Anolis sagrei: one gene and its partner. The protein of the gene in region 1 purifies or fractionates together with the protein of each later gene. This does not show direct contact. Links are inferred from orthologs where the notes say so. Each region holds a gene or a part of one and is shown on either strand. Other genes may lie near its edges.

Region 1 (7,093 bases):
ACAGATAGATTCTCTCCATTTGATAGCTCTGTGAAGAGTCGAAAACACAATTACTGACTTTCCTTTTTTTTCATATAGTCAATGAGGTGAGACATTGTTGCTTCCAATGAAGGACTCTGCCTCCAAGATAAACGCAATCTATTAATGCCAAGCATCTAGGACAAGAAACAAAGGCTGTGGTGAAGCACATACTTCTTGCAAAGATTTATATGGCTATCTCTTGATGAGAATATTAAGAGTATTAGAAGTAGGGTGCACCTACACTGTAGAATTAATGCAGATTGACACCACTTGGGTTGCCAGGGCTCAATACTATGGAATCATGTAAACAAAACTGGAATGTACTTAGTCCTAATCTTTTTAAATACTGGTTTTCAACCACTTCATCGAATCATAGAATCATAGAGTTAGAAGAGACCTCATAGGCCATCCAGTCCAACCCCCCTGCCAAGAAGCAGGAAAATAGCATTCAAAGCACCCCTGACAGATGGCCATTCAGCCTCTGTTGAAAAGTCTCCAAAGAAGGATCCTCCACCATACTCCGGGGCAGAGAGTTCCACTGCTGAACGGCTCTCACAGTCAGGAAGTTCTTCCTCATGTTCAGGTGGAATCTCCTTTCCTGTAGTTTGAAGCCATTGTTCCATATCCTAGTCTCCATGGCATCAGGAGACAAGGTTGCTCCCTCCTCCCGATGACTTCCTCTCACATACTTATACATGGCTATCATGTCTCCTCTCAGCCTTCTCTTCTTCAGGCTACACATGCCCAACTCTTTAAGCCGCTCCTCATAGGGCAGTGGTTCTCAACCTGTGGGTCCTCAGGTGTTTTGGCCTACAACTCCCAGAAATCTCAGCTATTAGGATTTCTGGGATCTGAAGGCCAAAACATCTGGGGACCCACAAGTTGAGAACCACTGTTGTAGGGCTTGTTCTCAGACCCTTGTGTTGCAATAGCAGGTACTTCACACAGTCCTAGAAGCTTGGGAAATGTTTGACTTGTGTTTTTTTTTAATACAAAATCCAGCATATAGATCTCTTTTGCTGTGACATACTGGGTTTTTGTGTCATAATAATAATAATAATAATAATAATAATAATAATTCATTGGAACTTGTGCCACAAATACCTTCTGCCTGCAACAAAGAACTGGTGGGATCACTAGCCAGAAAAAGTTACAGAGAATGAACATGCCAAACTCTTCTGCGACTTCCAAATTCAGACAGACAGAGTTCTGGAGCACAACACTCCTGACCTCACAATCGTGTTAAAAAACAAAGTATGGATTGTCGATGTTACAATCCCAGGTGACAGCAGGATTGAAGAGAAACAACTGGAAAAGCTGACACGATATGAGGATTTAAAGATCAAACTGCAAAGACTGTGACACAAGCTAGTCAAGGTGGTCCCAGTGGTGATCGGTACACTGGGTGCAGTGCCTAAAGACCTTGGCCTGCACTTAAACACAATTGGCACTGACAAAATTACCATCTGCCAGCTGCAAAAGGCCACCTTACTGGGATCTGCACGCTTACTGGGATCTGCACGGCTCCGGTCCAGCGTACCTGTCTGACCGTATCTCTTCCTACGTCCCACCTTGGAGCTTAAGATCTTCTGGGGAGGCCCTGCTCTCGGCCCCGCCTTTGTATCAAACATGTTTGGCGGGGATGAGGGTCAGGGCCTTATCGGTGGTAGCCCCCCGCCTGTGGAATTTGCTTTCCGGGGAAATTAGGTCATCGTCATCCCTCTTTACCTTTAGAAAGAAGGTAAAAACGTGGTTGTGGGACCAGGCCTTTGGGCAATTAGGTTAAAGGACAATTGATAATGTTTGACTATGGCTTGGAAGTCAATTTAGATAAGTTAAGTGGAGTAATCATTAGTATATGGCTAGATAAATAGCCACCAGACTGGCAATAGCTAAATGGATCGTAAGTATACAGTTTAATCTTTATTAATGTTTATGTTTTAATTGTTATATTTGCTATTTTGTATTTTATGATGCGGCATTGAATTATTGCCAATTGGAAGCCGCCCTGAGTCCCCCTAGGGGTTGAGAAGGGAGGGGTAAAAATGTTTGAAATAAATAAAATAAATTATTCGCCGATACATCACACAGCGCTAGACACTTGGGAAGTGTCCGATGTGTGATCCAATTCAACAGCCAGCAGAGTGTCTGCTGTGGACTCATCTTGTGTTTCAAATAAATAATAATAATAATAGTAATAATAATAATAATAGTCCACGGTAGTCCACGCTCTGGTTACATCCCGCTTAGATTACTGCAACGCTCTCTACGTGGGGTTGCCCTTGAAGACGACCCGGAAGCTCCAATTGGTCCAACGTGCGGCAGCCATGTTACTAACAGGAGCGGAACGCAGGGAGCACACAACGCCCTTGTTGTACCAGCTCCACCGGCTGCCGATTTGCTACCGGGCTCAATTCAAGGTGCTGGCTTTGGCCTATAAAGCCCTAAACGGTTCCGGCCCAAGATACCTATCTGACCGCATCTCGGCCTACGAGCCCACAAGAACTTTGAGATCGTCCGGGGAGGCCGTGCTCTCGATCCCGCCTGCCTCACAGATGTGCCTGGTGGGGAGGAGAGACAGGGCCTTCTCGGTGGTGGCTCCTCGGCTGTGGACATCAGACTGGCTCCTTCCCTGATGATATTCCGCAGGAAATTAAAGACCTGGCTGTTCAAGAAGGCGTTCGAACAAGAAGTGCAATAATTGGTAATGACGACAGGAATGGAACAACGGAAAATGATACCGGATTGTAGTTTGGACGATGAGACGACGCGGAATGGTTTTTGTAGAAATGATGCTACTGTTTTTTGTATAATGTTGTGAATTGTTTTTTTTATCGTGCTTTGAATATTGTTGCTTTCATGTTTTACACCGCTGCGAGTCACCCTCGGGCTGAGAACAGCGGTCTATAAATAAAGTAAATAAATAAATTTACAGCCATGATTTTAACAGGAGCGGAGCGCAGGGAGCATACAACCCCCCTGTTGTGCCAACTCCACTGGCTACCGATCTGCTACCGGGTTGAATTCAAAGTGCTGACGTTGGCCTTTAAAGCCCTAAACGGTTCCGGCCCAAGCTACCTATCTGACCACATCTCTGCCTATGAACCCACCAGGACTTTGAGATCTTCCGGGGAGACCCTGCTCTCGATCCCGCCTGCTTCTCAAGCTCGGCTGGTGGGGACGAGAGATAGGGCTTTCTCAGTGGTGGCTCCTCGGCTGTGGAACGCCCTTCCTACGGACATTAGACTAGCACCATATCTAATAGTATTCCGCAAAAAGGTGAAGACCTGGATGTTTGTGCAGGCGTTTGAGTAATTTAGTGCAATCTGGTAATGGAACATAGGAATGGAACAATGGATGACGAACCTGGACTACGCTTGGATGATGAGAAGATTGGGTACGGTTGTTTTTTGTAATAATTGTGCATTGTAATTGCTTATTGGTAATTTAAGTTAAGTCAATTGTTATATGTTGTATGGAACCACTGCTGTTTCTACTGTTTTTACTGTTTGTGAACCGCTGTGAGTCGCCTTCGGGCTTGAGATACAGCGGTATATAAGCAAAGTAAATAAAATAAATAAATAAATAAATAATAGCCTGAATGCAATTTTATGCAACATTTTAAATAATGTGCATGAAACAAAGTTTGTATACACTGAACAATTAGCAAGCAAATGTCTCCTTCTTCCTGCCAGCCAAGTGGGCAATATTCTGCAAATAAAGGTGTATTATATTCAGCTGCAATTTCCCCTGGGCATGGGTGAAGTCATAACCAGGGTGATGACGCAATGCCCTTGCGATTCCCACGGCGGCCGCTAGAGGCCGCGCGCTCCTCCTTTTTCCCTCCTTGCCGGCGTGACACAGCACAATAGAGGCAGCGCGGTGCATGCCGGTCGCGCCTGGACAGCTCGGCCTCGCGCCGGGGCTTGAATGACAGGAGTGAAGGAGAGCTCGCCGACCAATCAGAGAGGAGGAGGACGGGAGGGGCGGGTTTCCGGTTTGGCCAGAGGGAAGCGGAAGGAAGGAGCGAGCGAGGCAGATTTTGGAAAGGGCTCTGAGGAGAGAGAAGCTGAAGGTAAGGCGGAGGAGAGGAAGGGAGGATGTCAGGATCGGGGAAGAAGGCGTGAGGGCCGCGTCAGGCCTTTCCCCATGCCTTCGTGCTTCTCCGCCACGATCTTCTCCCTCTCATCCCCCCTTTTCCCTCTTGTGGCCACTGAGCATGCGCAGTTCAGTCATCGGGCTTCTCTTTGTATTTAAAGGGCCAGTACAGACATTCGTGGCCAATATGGTTGCAGTCTTTTGGATGAAGGTTATATCTAGTTACTAGCCGTCCCCTGCCACGCGTTGCTGTGGCCCACATGGGGGTTCTGTGTGAGAGGTTTGGCCCAATTCTATCGTTGGTGGGTTTCAGAATGCTCTGTGATTGTAGGTGAACTATAAATCCCAGCAACTACAACTCCCAAATGTAAAGATTCTATTTCCCCCAAATTCCACCAGTGTTCACATCTGGGCATATTGAGTATTTGTGTAGACTTTGGCCCAGATCCATCATTGTTTGAGTCCACAGTGATCTCTGGATGTAGGTGAACTACAACTCCAAAACCAAAGGACACTGCCCACCAAACCCTTCCAGTATTTTCTGTTGGTCATGGGAGAACTGTGTGCCAAGTTTGGTTCAATTCCATCGTTGGTAGAGTTAAGAATGCTCTTTGATTGTGGGTGAACTATAAATCCCAGCAACTACAGCTCCCAAAAGACAAAATCATTTTTTTGAGTGAAGGACATGCATTGGGTTGTTAGGTGTCTTGTGTCTAAATTTGGTGTCAATTCGTCCAGTGGTTTTTGAGTTCTGTTAATCCTACAAACGAATGTTACATTTTAATTTATATAGATAGCTAGATTCTATATCTGTTTGTGTAAATATATGTATCCATGTTTGTGTGTGTATACAGCAGGCCTGGGCAAACTTGGGCCCTCCAGGTGTTTTGGACTCCCAACTCCCACAATTCCTAACGCTGTTAGGAATTGTGGGAGTTGGGAGTCCAAAACACCTGGAGGGCCCAAGTTTGCCCAGGCCTGTTCCACACTGTAGATACAAATCAAATTGTGTGAAACAAATAGTTGCAAACACAATGATAAACCATCCTATAAAACACATTTCAACAACATTAGTAAAGGGGAAATTTAAAAGGAGTTTTCATAAACCATTCCATATTTCACTGTTCCAACACATGATGGTGACTGAACTGAACTGTGTCAGGACAAAACTTTATACTCCCGCCTCTCGAATGAGACCACTAGCGCTTCGCTACGTCTTCAACTGACTGAATTGCACGCATTTTAAAAAAGGAAGTTATGCTGCCTCACCTTTTACATTAGTAAAGGGAAATTTAAAAACCGTTTCCATACACCATAAGGCCATGTATTCAGTCACTCATTTCACCATAGGCTTGGGAACATAGGGAGGTTTTCAGTCGTTTTCTGAAAGAGGGCAACAATGGGGTCATTCTGATGTCTTTCGGGAGAGAATTCTAGAAAGGTGTGGAAAGCATCTAATAATACCTTTGAGACTGGTTTCTATTACCTTGCGCTTTCATCACTTTCAAGACATTTCAGATGCTCTGTTGGAAGTACTCAGTTAAAGATTTAAATACCCATGACATTAATTTTGCACACCTATTAGTGCCTCTGAAGAAGTGATTGTAATCCATGAAAATTCAAGCTAAATCAGGCTCAAAGATGCTTCTAGATTCTACTCCTTTTTGTGTTTTTCTACACAGCTACAGGGTGAGGCAGCATAACTTTGTTTTTTGAAAACTTAATAAAACCCAGTGTATGAATCATAATTTTTTATTATTTTTTATAATGTAGGTGCATACTTAAAGTTTTGTTTTACGGGGTTTTGAAGATCAAATTAGGTAGGTGATGTCCCCCATTCTCCATATACTGAGTAAACCGATTTCTGGTGTTTGTCATGACTCTTGCCAGCATAGCAGGCATTATGTTGGCAATTTCTTCCTGGATGTTGATCTTCAAATCTTGTAGGTTCCTTGGACGGTTCACATAAACACAGGATTAAAAAAATGGAGAAAATTTCCTTTTTGGGAGTCTGCTGGAGCACTCATTCTCTCTAGAATAGTGGCATTCAGAGTTATGATCTTTTTCTAGGAGAGAAGGAAACAGTTACGGGCAGTGGTCACAAATATCATGCCAATCCCTCACACACTGAGTGGAAAACTCCCTGTTATCTCCCTACATCATATTGTGCAATGAGCATTGTTCTAAACCAGGCCTGCACAAGCTATGGCCCTCCAGGTGTTTGAGACTCCAACTCCCAGAAGCCTTAGACAGCATGTCCAATGAATTCTTGGAGCTGAAGTCCAAAACACCTGGAGGGTTAGCTATAGGTTGTGAGTAGCTGTTTTAGACTGAAAAGCTTTATTTTAATGTGGTAGGATTTTTTTAATATAAAGTAAACTTCTATTCTTGATAAAATGTTTCTGAAAATACATTTTTGGAGTCACAGTCTTCTAATATTTGGCAACGTTCCCACCCCTGATTCAAACACACCGATCTGAATTATGTTTTCCCTTTATGCATGAATTATCAAACATGAGCAAAACGTCTTTTTATAATGGAATTTACTCACTGTAGACTTTTGATTGACTTGCCATGAGTTCACTGAGAGAAAGAGAACAATATTGGGCTTATAAAGAGAAACAACTGGAGAAGTAATACTTTCCTGATGAATTTTCCACCTTCTGTTTTTTCTTCTGTTTTCTCTGCACAACTCTTGCATCACTCATTCTTACTCAAGAGATCATTTGATATGCCCCAGATCACTGGCATCATAAAAATGCTTTGTGTCATGGTCTTAGGTGACTGGAGAGCTCTTGGCTTTTGGAGTCAGAATATATTTGAGGGAGCTGTGCTGTAACCAGCAAAAATAGATGATATTTGAGACCATGGAGTAGCAGTAAGATGACAGATGAGGAAGCTGCTTTGGAAAACAAAGCCTGAATGCAAAGGTTTGCTGATTATATTTAGATTATGGACTTGCATTTTTCTTGAG
Region 2 (7,096 bases), on another chromosome or scaffold:
CATTCCATAATGGAGATCAGGCCTGGGCAAACTTCGGCCCTCCCGGTGTTTTGGACTTCAACTCCCACAATTCCTAACAGCCGGTAGGAATGTTAACACCGGGAAGGCTGAAGTTTGCCTGCACCTGGTGTAGATGCATCCAAAAATATATCCAAGCAATAATAATCTTAAGTACTTCAAATAAAATTGGAATAAAATCTATTTTAACTGCTATTTAACTAAATTTGCATTAATAAAACTGTTTTTGTAATACAGTAAAACGGTATTACATTAAGTACAGTTTGAAAATTATTGTTGATATTCTTGTTATTATTAAAATCCTCACTCAGTCATGAAAACCACTTGGGCTATTATTATTTTTGTTGTTGTTATTATTATTATTAAATTCCCACTCAGTCATGAAAACCACTTGGGATATGATGATGATTATTAAATTCCCACTCAGTAATGTCATGAAAACCACTTGGGCAATTATTATTATTATTATTATTATTATTATTATTATCATTATTATTAAATCCCCACTCAGTCATGAAAACCACTTGGGATAGGATGATGATGGTGATTATTATTATTATTATTAAATCCCCACTCAGTAATGTCATTAAAACCACTTGGGCTATTATTATTATTATTATTATTTTTAAATCCCCAGTCATGAAAACCACTTGGGATATGATGATGATGATGATTATTATTAAATCTCCACTCAGTAATGTCGTGAAAACCACTTGGGCAATTATATTATTATTATTATTATTATTATTATTATTAAATCCCCACTCAGTAATGTCATGAAAACCACTTGGGATATGATGATGATGATTATTATTATTAAATCCCCACTCAGTTATGAAAACCACTTGGGATATGATGATGATGATGATGATTATTATTATTACATTCTCAGTAATGTCATGAAAACCACTTGGGCAATTATTATTATTATTATTATTATTAAATCCCCAATCATGAAACCACTTGGGATATTATGATGATAATGATTAAGATTATTATGATTATGATTATTATTAAATCCCCACTCAGTAATGTCATTAAAACCACTTGGGCAATCATTATTGTTATTATTAGTATTAAATCCCCACTCAGTCATGAAAGTCAACTTGGGATATGATGATGATGATGATTATTAAATCCTCACTCAGTAATATCATGAAAACCACTTGGGCAATTATTATTATTATTATTATTATTATTATTATTATTATTAAATCCCCACTCAGTCATGAAAACCACTTGGGATATGATGATGATGATGATGATGATGATGATTATTATTATTATTATTAAATCCTCATGACCCCAAGTGGTCATGAAAACCACTTGGGCAATTATTATAGATAAATATAATAAATATAATAATATATTCCTATCAGTCACGAAAACCACTTGAGCACTTCATTGCAACTCTAAAGCAATCCCAAACCACCTTTATCGACCTCTACTTTTGCAAATCAATGAATTTTCTACCTGGGTTTTCCTTCTCGTTCCTTTAGGCATCAATCACGGTGACCTCAACGACCACAATATTTTAATAGAAGCCGATTCCTCTTCCCCTGGAAAGCCAAGATACAGAGTGTCGGGGATTTTGGACTTCTGCGACATGAGTTATGGCTATTTCGTCTTCGAAGTGGCCATCGCCATCATGTACATGATGATCGAAAGCCAGGATCCCATCCGCGTGGGAGGCCACGTCTTGGCCGGATTCGAGAGCGTGGTGCCTTTGACCCCGGAGGAACGGGCCGCCCTTTTCCTGCTGGTCAGCGGGAGATTCGTCCAGTCCCTTGTGATGGCGGCCCACACCAGTCTCCAGCACCCTGAGAATAAGGACTATTTGATGATCACGGCCAAGACGGGGTGGAAGCACCTGATGACTCTCTCTGAGATGGGCCAAGAGGCCGTTGAGAAGATCTGGTTTGAGACCGCAAAGGCTTACGATACCTGAATTGACTTTCACAAGCCTGTAGTTGCGGACCTGATTTGCAATAAATTTCCTGGGCATTCTTGGGATTGTAATCTATGGCCATGAATGAATGAAAACATCACACAGACCTAGAAACTTGGGAAGTGTTCGACGTGGGATCCAATACAAAAGCCAACAGTGTTCTTGTTTGCTGTGTACTAATCCTGTTGTGTAAATAATAAAGAATTATTATTATTATTATTATTATTATTGGGTTCTTGTAGGTTTTTTCGGGCTATATGGCCATGGTCTAGAGGCATTCTCTCCTGACGTTTCGCCTGCATCTATGGCAAGCATCCTCAGAGGTAGTGAGGTCTGTTGGAACTAGGAAAATGGGTTTATATATCTGTGGAATGACCAGGGTGGGACAAAGGACTCTTGTCTGCTGGAGCTAGGTGTGAATGTTTCAACTGATCACCTTGATTAGCATTTGATGGCCTGGCAGTGCCTGGAGCAAACTTTTGTTGAGAAGTGACATAACTACAAATTTTTAAACATAAAATTAATTAGAATTAAAATGTGTAAATATAAACATTGAAATGGTATTAAAACATAGGATTAGAAAGAGTGAAAATAAATTAAAATACACAAATACATGGAATCTATGAAACTATATAACTACAAATTATTAAACATAAAATTAATTAGAATTGACTCCATTAAGGATAAGAACACAGAAAAGCTTTTTTTTTTTTACTTCACCACTGCTGCAAGAATAGTGGTAGCTAGAATATGGAAATCCAAGGAGGCACCAACTGTGGAGCAATGGTTACTGAAAATATGGGATATTATGAATATGGACATCCTCACCCATAAAATCTCGCAGAGCATAGCAAAACCCCCTAGGACTAACTGGGAGGGCTTTCTGTATTGCATAAAAGGGCTATATAATGAGATATATATTAGTACTATACATTAATGAAACTTGAAGGTAAAGTAATAGGAAACTGGCGATTACACCATTACTAATATAGATAACAGAAAAGAAAAGGGGATTAAAGTATAGTTTACTCCCCGGTGCCTGACCAGCAAAACCTGGAAGTATTTTAAAATTTACTCGGGGAATAATTGTTGGTGTTGGTAAGTGTTGTTATTGATTAATCATTGTATTGTATTCAGTCGTATGTCTGTTTATTCGTTCGTATGTTTGTTTGTATTGTCTCTTTGCACTAATACATTTCTCTTCTATCAGCTCCTCTAAGAGCAATATCTTCTAAATAAACATATTCCAAAAAAATTTAATTAGAATTAAAATGTGTAAATATAAACATTGAAATGGTATTAAAATATAGGATTAAAAAGAGAGAAAATAATTTAAAATACACAAATACATAGATTATATGAAACTACATTACAAATATTAAGCATAAAATTAATTAAAATTAAAATGTGTAAATATAAACATTGAAATGGGATAAAAACACAGGATTAAAAAGAGTGAAAATAAATTAAAATACACAAATACATGGAATCTGAAACTACATAACTACAAATTATTAAGCACAAAATTTAAATGTCTAAATATAAACATTGAAATGGGATTAAAATATAGGATTAAAAAGAGAGAAAATAAATTAAAATATATAAATATATGGAATATTTGAAACTACATAACTACACATTATTAAGCATAAAATTAATTATAATTAAAATGTGCAAATATAAACATTGAAATGGGATTAAAACACAGGATTAAAAAGAGAGAAAATAAATTAAAATACATAAATACATGGAATCTATGAAACTACATAACTACAAATTATTAAGCATAAAATTAATTAAAATTAAAATGTGTAAATATAAATATTGAAATGGGATCAAAACACAAGATTAGAAAGAGTGAAAATAAATTAAAATACATGGAATCTATGAAACTGCAGAAATACATGGGATCCAGCCTACTGCAGCTTTGATTCCTTGCTGGCAAGATCTGATGCACTTTAGATGGGAAGGATGATCTCAAATGCCCACACTCATCATGGCGTTTCTGGCGACACGGAAGTCCGGTCTGAAGTAACGTAGCGGGCCAATGGGAACTTCCGAGGAACGAACGCTCTGTCCGAAGCCACGCCCCCTCTCTATAGTTAGCGCAGTGCGCTTGCGCGGGGAGTGGCGGCCATTTTGGATACCGGCTGAGGCGGAACTGAGGGTAAGTGTTACTTCTGAGGGAGGGAAAGGGGGCTTTTGGGGCCTAGTCGGCCTTTCTTGCGAGGCAGCCTGAGCCCGGGACCTTCGAGGATCTTCCGTGTCCCTGTTCGTGCCTCTTCAGCCCTTCTCTGTCTTCTCCGTCGGGCGAGGAGGATTCTTGGGGCGAGGATGACTCGGCAAGGCTGTCACTCTCTGGAAAAGGCCTGGGCCAAATGAGGCCTTATTTAGTTATTTCTCGTGTCAGGGCAACCAGTCAATTGTATTACATTTCTAACAGAACAAAACAAACAAACAGGCAGACAAAACACAAAGACAAAACCCTGACTTGGCCACGGTAGTCCACGCACTGGTTACATCCCGTATAGATTACTGCAACGCTCTCTACGTGGGGTTGCCTTTGAAGACGGCTCGGAAGCTACAAATGGTCCAACGATCGGCAGCCAGGATGCTAACAGGAGCGGCACTCAGGGAGCATACAACTCCTCTGTTGCGCCAGCTCCACTGGCTGCCAATTTGCTACCGGGCACAATTCAAAGTGCTGGCTTTAGCTTTTAAAGCCCTAAACGGTTCTGGCCCGACCTATCTGTCCGAACGCATCACCCCCTATGAACCAGTTAGGACATTAAGCACGGCTGACGGGGACGAGAGACAAGGCCTTCTCAGTGGTGGCCCCTTAGCTGTGGAACGCCCTTTCCGCAGACGTTAGATCGGCCCCCTCCCTGCTGGCGTTCAGGAGAAGAGTGAAGACCTGGCTCTTTGAACAGGCATTCAATTAAGTAGTGCAATCAATTGACTGAGTTTGGAACTTGGAATTTGGAACTTGGAATAATGGACGAGGAGATCGGATTATGACTTTACTGATGAGACGTGTTGGATTTGTTGTTGTTGTTCATTCGTTCAGTCGTCTCCGACTCTTCGTGACCTCATGGACCAGCCCACGCCAGAGCTCCCTGTTGGCCGTTACCACCCCCAGCTCCTTCAAGGTCAGTCCAGTCACTTCAAGGATGCCATCCATCCATCTTGCTCTTGGTCGGCCCCTCTTCCTTTTGTCTTCCACTTTCCCCAGCATCATTGTCTTCTCTAGGCTTTGCTGTCTCCTCATGATGTGGCCAAAGTACTTCAACTTTGTCTCTAGTATCCTTCCTTCCAGTGAGCAGTGAGTTGGATTAGTTATATGGATGTATTGATGTCATGTTGATTTACTGATGTGTCGTTGTATTGTTTTAGTTGCTTTAGTTATTGTTTAAATGTTAATGCTAATGCTTTGCACTTTGTATATTGACCTGTTGTAAACCGCACTGAGTCGCCTACGGGCTGAGATAGTGCGGTATACAAATAAAGTAAGTAAGTAAATAAATAAATAAAGTTTGCAAGCTTGGTAGTTGATTAGATGTTCTTTGACCAGTATCTGGCCACTTGGAGTGCCTCTGGTGTTGCCGCAAGAAGGTCCTCCATTGTGCATGTGGCAGGGCTCAGGGTGCATTGCAGCAGGTGGCCAGTGGTTCTGAGAGTGGTCCCGCATTTCCTTGTTCTCAAATAATATGCTGACACCTCCCAACAAAGGATTCCTTCAGGCAGGAGTCAGGCAGGCCTTGAAGCTACAAGGCTTGGCAATGCTAATCAAGGTGGCCAATTGCAACATTTACACTCCCTTCCAACAGACAAGAGTTCTTTCTCCCACTCTGGACATCATTCCACAGATATATAAACCCAATTTCCCTAGTTTCCAACAGACCTCACAACTTCTGAGGATGCCTGAAATAGATGGGGGTTATTTATTTACCGTGTCATCAGCAAACAGACAGTTGTATTACATTTTTAACAAAAACAAATAAACAAACAGACAAAACACAGAGTTTGCAAGCTTGGTAGTTGATTAAATGTCCTTTGACCAGTATCTGGCCACTTGGAGTGCCTCTGGTGTCGCCGCAAGGAGGTCCTCCATTGTGCATGTGGCTGGGCTCAGGTTGCATTGCAGCAGGTGGTCAGTGGTTTGCTCTTCTCCACACACGCGTGTCGTGGATTCCACTTTGTAGACCCATTTCTTGAGGTTGGCTCTGCATCTCGTGGTGCCAGAACGCAGTCTGTTCAGCGCCTTCCAACTCGCCCAGTCTTCTGTGTGCCCAGGAGGGAGTCTCTCAATGGGTATTAGCCATTGGGTTTGAGCCTGCCATTTTTGGACTCTCGCTTGCTGAGGTGTTCCAGCAAGTGTCTCTGTAGATCTAAGAAAACTATTTCTTGATTTAATTTGTTGACGTGCTGGCTGATACCCAAACAAGGGATGAGCTGGAGATGTCATTGACTTGGTCCTTTCACTATTGGCTGCTACTTCCCAGCGGATGTCAGGTGGTGCAATACCGGCTAAACAGTGTAGTTTCTCCAGTGGTGTAGGGCGCAGACACCCCGTGATAATGTGGCATGTCTCATTAAGAGCCACATCCACTGTTTTAGCGTGGTGAGATGTGTTCCACACTGGGCATGCATACTCCGCAGCAGAGTAGCACAGCGCAAGGGCAGATGCCTTCACTGTGTCTGGTTGTGATCCCCAGGTTATGCCAGTCAGCTTTCGTATTATATTATTTCTAGCACCCACTTTTTGCTTGATGTTTAAGCAGTGCTTCTTGTAGGTCAGAGCACGGTCCAGATTACTCCCAGGGATTTGGGTGTGTTGCAATGCTCCAGTGGGATTCCTTCCCAGGTAATCCTCAGAGCTCAGGATGCTTGTCCGTTCAAAGTGGTCTTTACAGAAGACATCTTCACATGCATCACACTTCAGAGGTAGAAAGTCCAATTGTTTACAAGTCTTCTCAGAGCAATGTTCACCCAGGTTTGGGAATTCAGTTACTAGGAAGTCGTCTCCTTCTCAACAAGACTGTCACCACCCATAGATGCAGGCGAAACATCAGGAGAGAATGCCTCTAGAACATGGCCATATAGCCCGAAAAAAACCTACAGCAACCAAAT

What was found. The genes of interacting proteins can lie anywhere in the genome.
Region 2: the proteins of ADRM1 (region 1) and PSMA4 fractionate together in Homo sapiens (co-fractionation; 3 studies listed by BioGRID, with this or other methods). This does not show direct contact. The link is inferred for Anolis sagrei from reciprocal best matches to the Homo sapiens genes ADRM1 and PSMA4.

The regions. Positions count from the first base shown.
Region 1 is NC_090024.1:232,621,888-232,628,980, forward strand, and holds the start of ADRM1 (proteasomal ubiquitin receptor ADRM1), read left to right. Parts: upstream 1-3,996; 5' UTR 3,997-4,096; intron 4,097-6,899; 5' UTR 6,900-7,041; coding exon 7,042-7,049; intron 7,050-7,093. UniProt on the Homo sapiens protein: Component of the 26S proteasome, a multiprotein complex involved in the ATP-dependent degradation of ubiquitinated proteins.
Region 2 is NC_090029.1:11,848,204-11,855,299, reverse strand, and holds the start of PSMA4 (proteasome subunit alpha type-4), read left to right. Parts: upstream 1-4,045; 5' UTR 4,046-4,133; intron 4,134-7,096. Other genes in the region: HYKK (hydroxylysine kinase), read left to right, coding at 1,518-1,966. UniProt on the Homo sapiens protein: Component of the 20S core proteasome complex involved in the proteolytic degradation of most intracellular proteins. This complex plays numerous essential roles within the cell by associating with different regulatory particles.